2 linked regions of the Mus musculus genome follow. The protein of the gene in region 2 purifies or fractionates together with the protein of the main gene of each other region. This does not show direct contact. Links are inferred from orthologs where the notes say so. Each region holds a gene or a part of one and is shown on either strand. Other genes may lie near its edges.

Evidence for each region.
Region 1: the proteins of Stx5a (region 2) and Bet1 purify together in Homo sapiens (affinity purification with mass spectrometry; 3 studies listed by BioGRID and IntAct, with this or other methods). This does not show direct contact. The link is inferred for Mus musculus from reciprocal best matches to the Homo sapiens genes STX5 and BET1.

The regions. Positions count from the first base shown.
Region 1 is NC_000072.6:4,084,073-4,088,195, forward strand, and holds the start of Bet1 (BET1 homolog), read right to left. Parts: upstream 2,859-4,123; 5' UTR 2,724-2,858; coding exon 2,705-2,723; intron 1-2,704. UniProt on the Homo sapiens protein: Required for vesicular transport from the ER to the Golgi complex. Functions as a SNARE involved in the docking process of ER-derived vesicles with the cis-Golgi membrane.
Region 2 is NC_000085.6:8,748,298-8,751,946, forward strand, and holds part of Stx5a (syntaxin-5), read left to right. Parts: intron 1-163; coding exon 164-280; intron 281-357; coding exon 358-414; intron 415-509; coding exon 510-591; intron 592-1,368; coding exon 1,369-1,475; intron 1,476-1,608; coding exon 1,609-1,730; intron 1,731-3,649. UniProt on the Homo sapiens protein: Mediates endoplasmic reticulum to Golgi transport.

The DNA of each region.
Region 1 (4,123 bases), on a different chromosome or scaffold from region 2:
AGGTACACACACACCCTACAACAATACTTAAGTAAATACTTATAAATGAACTAAAAAGGACATTTTTCCTTTACTGTAAACCAATTTTGTCAACAGCAGAATGTCTTTTGCTTCTCTGGCCTCTTGCACCTAATGAGCACTTTCTATGTACCAGACGCCTATATTTCTCCGTTTACCACAAAAGCCATAACAAAATGTTAAATATTTCAAAGAGAGGGGACAGTTGCACACTTGCTGGCTGGCATGGTCTCTCTCTTTCTCCACACATATTTTCAAACAGATTAAAAGCTGGAGGACAGGGCATAGTTGTTTTTCGCAGCTCACCAACTAAAATCAACACTTAAAATAATCTCTGCAAACTCTTAACAAGATTTAAGATCTTCAACTTGTTTAATGTGACTAAGTAATTCTGGATTGGATAGTTAATCACTGGACAACTTCATTAACTAATTTGTCCAAAATTAATGGCTATTTTGATTTATTTCTTTTGTTTTGACTCTCTAGCCTATCTTATACTTAATTTCAGAGTTCTTCTACTTTGTTCTTTTAAAGCAAAATGTTCCTTTTTTTGATCCAGAAATTTTAATGCAGTTGCAAATTTGATCTTTCTTCACATCATCTTCCACCCCCAAACAGAAAAACAAAACAAAACCAACTAAGGTAAAATAAAATACTACAATTGCTATTCCAACTGAGATCCAATTTTTCAGTGAGAATTAATTACTACTATGATGAACTGTAGAAAGGCGAGTCTTGAAGGTCATTTCCAGCTGATGCCATCTGAAAAGTGCTACTTCCTTGAAGCAGGCCAATTCATTTAACAGCTCCTGTGTAAGGTGGCAGGTTTTACATACAAATGCTTATCAGACTCACTATTATTTCAAATTTCAAATTCAGGTCAGCACACAATGATACTTTTAGGTCTTCATAATTCAACACCAATTTAAGTGATAAGCATACTTAAACAAATAATTACCCCTCTTCTTCACTGCACTTCAAAAAGACTTAGGAGGGGACTCTTGCCTGCTGATTCTAATTTAATTGAAAATCTAATTTAACATCTTTCTGAGTAATTGTAACATACAATACAAGTCAGAGATAGAAACCTACTGTCAAATCCCTGACCTGCACGTATTAAAAACAGTACAGCACAAACAAAATTCCAATAGGCCAGTGGCCTACTGATGAATGTAAAGTCCTTGAATAGTCAGATCGTTCGGGTGCCTCAGGGTCCTAGCTTCACTCAGAGTGACTTCATCACCACAACCTCTTGTATACATCATTCATAACTACCCTGAATCTTGTTTGGCCATCTTCTCATCTGGGACTTACTTCTCCCAACCCTCACAGTCACCAGCATCCTTCAGGTTCTCCGGCTCCAGGAAGCCCACCGTGAGCCATGGATTATTAAGCCCCCACTGCATTTACTATCCGATGAACTTAACCTGTACTGGGATGAAGTTACCACCTTGGATCGTACTTTGTCATCTGCTTCCGCAGCAATTTATCTTCTGCTCCACAGTAACCCTGAAAGCTTTGGGAAGCACATGGTGCGTCACAATAAATGTCTGCTGTTATTAGTGTTGGAAAAATGTAGGCATATATGACTAATCATGTTTGAAAATAGTTCTTTAGGTTATTTGAGATGAACTAATTTCTTTCAATGACTGAAAGGATTCATAAAACTAAATTTACAACTTCTTCACATGCAACTACTTATTGACAACCCTGTCAATCTATATTACTGACACCATTCAAGGCCCTTATTTTTCAGTGGTTTTAAAGTCCACACATTCTATTCCTATAACCAACCTTATTGAAACTACTACCATGTCTCTGCACTGTCATGAATATTGTGTTCCTTCTTACATAATCAAAACCCATAACAAGCCGTGAATTATGAGTTGCAAAAGAGGCTTTAGTTTTCATACCTAACTTTAAGTGTTTGTCCATTCACTGGCTTTAACACCTCAAATTTTTAAAAACTATTTTTTTTTTTACTATTCCAATGTCTGCCAGAACAGCAACATCCTTTTTAATATTTCACACATTTTTTTCAAGCATTCTGCCCTTCCTTCTTTAAGACATGGCTAATAGAGAAAGAACTTCAGTTATTACTAAGCTATTCCTTCCCCTGACCCATTTAAGTCATCAAAACCAACATCTACTGCCTTAGCAGTGGGACAAGGTCTAGGTCAGAAGTGTTCCAAGTAACTCGCCTTTGACCCAGACCTTTCATAACAGGCACTTTAACAATAAGGACACGTAAATTCACCTTTGTAACTCACGGTTATCAAACTAACGCATCATTATTAGTGGGCTTAAAGCTTACTACTCCCCAAATGTCATTTCTTAAAAAAAAAAAAAAAAAGTTAAGATCCAGAATGAGTAAAGCAAAGGAAACAGCAAGGCTTGGGAAATTGGGTTACTCCCCAAACTAGCACATAGAAAAAGAAAAACTTATGCTAACCAATTCACCGCTCTGTGCAACCTAGCATATAGGTTTAAACTTTTGTCTAAATACAACTTCAGGAAACCGTTCGGAACTAGGACACAGGAAGAGAACCTTCTCCAAAGAACCCAAATAACTCGCTTTTGAACACCAAAGTCATTGACAGAGGGCCGGTAGTCTCCTCCCACAACCCTGCTCCCGACTCAGCAGGTCCTAGGGTCCCCAAACTTCGAACCTCAGCACTGTTCTTACCCAGGCCTGCACGCCTCATCCTGCCAGGAGAGGGAAAGGCGGGCAAGGAGGAGTGAGTAGGAAAGGGCCAGGGTCACCCGACCTCGGCTTCAGTCCCAGGGCTCCTAAGAGCAACAACTTTTTGCCTCAGAGCGCCACGACATCAGTAAAGTCTAAACACCGCGCCGGTTTATGTCGTCACTCGGACACATATAGGCGTCCTGAAATGCGATTACTAGTTGCATTCTGGGAAATGTAGTTTTCCGTCTTCTGGGGCACTGGGTAAGAGGGGCGTGGTAGGAACAATGCCTGGAATGGGCGGGGCTTCCGGAAGGGCAGCGACAGCTGCTGGGGCTCTAGTCCTGTTATTCTGGGTCATTACTTAATCCAGAACTTTTAGTATGGCACTTTTTGATGTTAGTGCCAACTTTAACCTGGGAGAGTTACCCCTCCCTAGCCGGGATGATGGTTGACTCTTTCATGATTTTCCCTTGCACTCCCGCTCACCCAAAGTCAGAGGTGAGAAAGTCAGTGCAAACTTTGTTCAAACAGAGTCTCATCTTACTGTCTGAGCCTCTTAGCAGGAAAGGAAAATCAATCCTCTTCCTTCCTGATCCTGCCCAGTGGAATAGTTAAAAAAAAATATATATATATATACACATATATATATATATATATATATGTGTGTGTGTGTGTGTGTGTGTGTGTGTGTGTGTGTGTGTGTATGTATGTATGTATGTATGTATCCTTGCAGTAGAACTTCCGGGTAGGGAAGTGGGGAGTCTCAGCTTCCTAACGCATTTGATCTAAGTCTGGAAAGAACTGTGATATTTAGCTTTTAAACACTCCACCCTACTTAGAGCTTTTAAAACGTACACACAAATACCTCATACTTGTTTCCATGGAGCATGTAGCCATCCTCTGCTACATATGCAGCAAGTACCCTTAGCTGCTGAACCACCTCACTACACACATTATACTTCATAATAGAAACACATTGCACTAACACTCTGCCCTCAGCTTACTGTGGTTTGATGGCTGAAAGAAAGAGTCTAAGTTCCGCCTTCTTTGCTTCTATTGCTATGTGATAATTTTCAATTCAACTAATACAGAATGTGAGATGAGTATGGGGATATAACAAAGATCCTTGATGATTTTATCACAAGTTCTTATTCAAGTACAACATGTGACTATGGGAACTATAAGTGTTCATACTCGAGCATAAACATGCCATCTTCACCTTGTAGCTTTTAATATCTTGCAAAATTTGATGAGTCAGAGGGCTATCAGAATCCAGAGCATATTAATGAAGAACAATAAAAACACTTATTACAAATATATCATTTGCACATGAGCATGTTATATTATGCCATTAGACTTCATTTGCATGATACAAGATCAAAGACAAAAATTATTAAGAGTTTCAGAACAATGAGGCAC
Region 2 (3,649 bases):
AGCTAGAAAAGTCTAGTGTCACCTTCTGACCTGACTAGACGCGTACACCATTAGCTGGTTTCCTCTTGACTTCCCTGCCAGAGACAGCCAGAGACTCTTCACAGAGATGGTCTTCATGACTGAAGACTCCCTGCCTAATGCTTTTCTTCTGGTCTCTTACCAGGATATCAATAGCCTCAACAAACAAATTGCTCAGCTTCAAGATTTTGTGAGGGCCAAGGGCAGCCAGAGTGGCCGGCATCTGCAGACCCATTCTAACACCATTGTGGTTTCGTTGCAGGTGGGACCTTGGGGATGGAGGAGGGAGGAGAGGAATAACAAAATACATTCTTTGACCCAATTGTCCTTGCCTTTTAGTCAAAGCTGGCTTCTATGTCCAATGACTTCAAGTCAGTTCTAGAAGTGAGGACTGAGGTAAGTGGGATCAGTAGGTGGGTAAGGACCTATTGTAGGGTCCACAGACCCACTTTCCAGGGACTCAGGAGCCGTGTATTCCTCCCCAACATCAGAATCTGAAACAGCAGAGGAACCGTCGGGAACAGTTCTCCAGGGCACCAGTGTCAGCCCTGCCTCTTGCCCCCAACAACCTTGGTAAGTCAGTAGTAGCACTATGGGAAGCCTAGGGGCTAAGTTCTTCTGGGTTTGGTGGCATCCTTTAGACTTCAGAGTGTAAACACAGTAGAGTAGGAGAACGGAGCTGCCAGAATGGTGCTGTGCATTATCTCAGAGGACAAACTTGGTTTTGAAACTTTATGATCTACACTTAACCCTTGTGCCTTCTCATGGGAAACATGAGACATATCATGTAGACATATCAGAAAAATGACAGTGTCTGACTTTTTGTACTTAGTTACATTCTCTCTAATTTTCACAACCAGCCTTTGGAAAAGCAACTATTGTTAGCTCCATTTTGCAGATGAGGAAACTGAGACTCAGATCAAATAATCTATTCAGAGCTGGATTTAAATCTAGTGGGTTTTGAATGTGTTTTTATTTTTAAAGCTAGGGTCTCATGTAGCTTGGGCTGGCCTCTAGCTTGTTAGCTGAGGACTAAACTATCTCCACCTCCCTATGACTAGTATAACAGGCAAGCACCACCATGCTTTGCTTGAACCATGCCTATACATTCTCATGTATGCACTGTGTGTGTGTGTGTGTTTTGAGAGACAGACAGACAGTGGCAGTCAGACAGTGACAGTCAGGGTTTCTCTATGTTGTCTTGGCTGGCAGATCAGATTGGCCTCAGACTCATAGAGACCCCCTTGCCTCAACCTCAAGAATTCTGGCATTAAAGGCATGTGCTACCAATGCCAAGCCCTGAACCTGCTTTTAACCATTAAAATGTGCCATGTCCTATTTTCCTCCCAGGAGGTGGTCCCATAATTTTGGGAGCAGAGTCCCGAGCTTCCAGGGACGTGGCTATTGACATGATGGACCCTAGAACAAGCCAGCAGCTTCAGCTCATTGATGAGCAGGTACCCAGGCTCTGAAATCTGGAGAATCAGTTTCTCTATTGTCTTCTTTGTTCCCCTGAGTGTTTGGAATGTGTCATGGTGAAAAAGTCTTAAAAACCTAGGCCCTAGTTCATGGTGTTTTCTTCTTCTGAAGGATTCCTACATCCAGAGTCGGGCAGACACCATGCAGAACATTGAGTCTACAATCGTTGAGCTGGGCTCCATTTTTCAGCAATTGGCACACATGGTTAAAGAACAGGAGGAAACGATTCAGAGGTGAGACACTCTCACCCCATACAGTGCAGCCTTCTCTTCTCCATGGATTGATATCCTGAAGTCCCTAGGGACAACTTGGTGTTCTTTGGAAGAGTGGAGTGAATCCTGCCTACCCACTAGTCCTGTTCCCCTGCTTCTACTCATTCCATAAGAATTTATTTAGGGGCTGGTGTGGTGGTGTATGCACGCCTTTGATCCCAGCACTCTGGAGACACAAACAGGCAGAGCTCTATAAGTTTGAGGCCATCCTGCTCTACATAGTGAGTTCAAGGACAGCCGCTGAGGCTACAGAGAAGTCCTTTAAAAAAAAGAAAAGTAAAAGAAAATGCCTACCATGCATAAAGGTTTAGGATCTGTCCTCAGAATCATAGAGAAAACAACTGGTAGGGACAGCCAACTGGCTCATCCGGCAAAGGCATTTCCTGCACACGCCTAGTAACACGAGAATGGTAACTGCTGCCAGATAAAGGTGAAAGATTTCAGCGCCACAGGGTTGTCTTGTGATCACCACATCCATGCCTCCTACCCCATAATAATAAATAAAAATGTAAAAAAAAAAAAAATCAAACAGCTGAGAAGGGAGCACAGTGTGCTGACCTTAAAGTACAGCTACTCTCGAGGATTGTTTGAACCAAGGAGTTCAAGACAATGACATCAGACCACCATGATCTGCTATGTGGATGCTGGGAATTGAACTCAGAACTTAAGTGAGTGCTCTTAACCACTGAGCCATCTCTCCAGGCCCACAACCATATTTAACCCTAGTTTTAGGAGATCCAACGCAGGCATCAGGCATTTAAAAGTTGATTTAAAATGTCAGCAGCAGAAAATGTCAGTGGTACTGTTGTAGCAGCCTGAGAAATCTGTAGAGCCCGCGGGATGTGGGTGCTCGCTCCACAAGGCAGGGTGAAACAAAGCTGACTTTAGAGAGCAGAAAGACGGTGAACCTGAGAAGGGCAAGGACAGTTCTTATGAAGCTTGTCTGCTCATTATGTTGAAAACTCCTGAGGTGCTGGCTCAGCTGTTAAGAGCACTGGCTGCTCTTCTGAAGGACCCGGGTTCAATTCCCAGCACCCACATGGCAGCTCACAACTGTCTATAACTTCAGTTACAGGGGACCCAACATTCTCACACAGATGATAGCCATGCAGAGAAAACACCAGTGTACATGAAATGAAAATAAGTAAATCACTTAAAAAGCAAAAAAGAAAAAGAAAATTCCTGAGGTGTAGGCAGCTAAATGTGTATCAGAACGGGGTGCAGGAGTTTCCTGATGGATGCCCTTTTAATTTCCTGACTGTCCTGCAGGCCTTGCAGTGTCCTATAGCTTCAAGTTGTTTGCTGGCCTTGTTACTGCTCTTTCAAAACAGAAAAGCTTGGTTCTCCAGTGTTATTTGGAAAAACCAAATATGGGCTTCAGTGGCACTGCTTATATTACTTTGTATGGAATAACTTGAAAGAAGATGCTGTGTAACTTGTATCTCATTAGGAAGCATTTAATGTCAGATTGCATTTATATCAGGGAGGACAGATATCAGAAACAGTCTTCCACCCCATGATCAACTCCAGGACCTTGTACATGCTGGACAGTATTCTGCCATTAAGTTACACACTCAGTCATTGTTTTTAGCTTTTTTCCTCTTGAGTGAGAAACTCAAGGCAAAGCTCAGCAGATAAGTTTGCTTGCTATAAAGCCTTGATGGCCTGCATTTGGTCCCTGGAACCCACATTGTAAAAGAGAACCAGTTCCCACATGTGTCCTTTGACCTCCACATGAGGGCCATGGCACATGCATACTCATACATACACACAGACATACAAAATAAATATAAAAGAAAAATTCTTTTTTTTTTTTTGTTTTTTTTTTGTTTTTTGTTTTGTTTTAAAAGATTTATTTATTTATTTATTTATTTATTTAT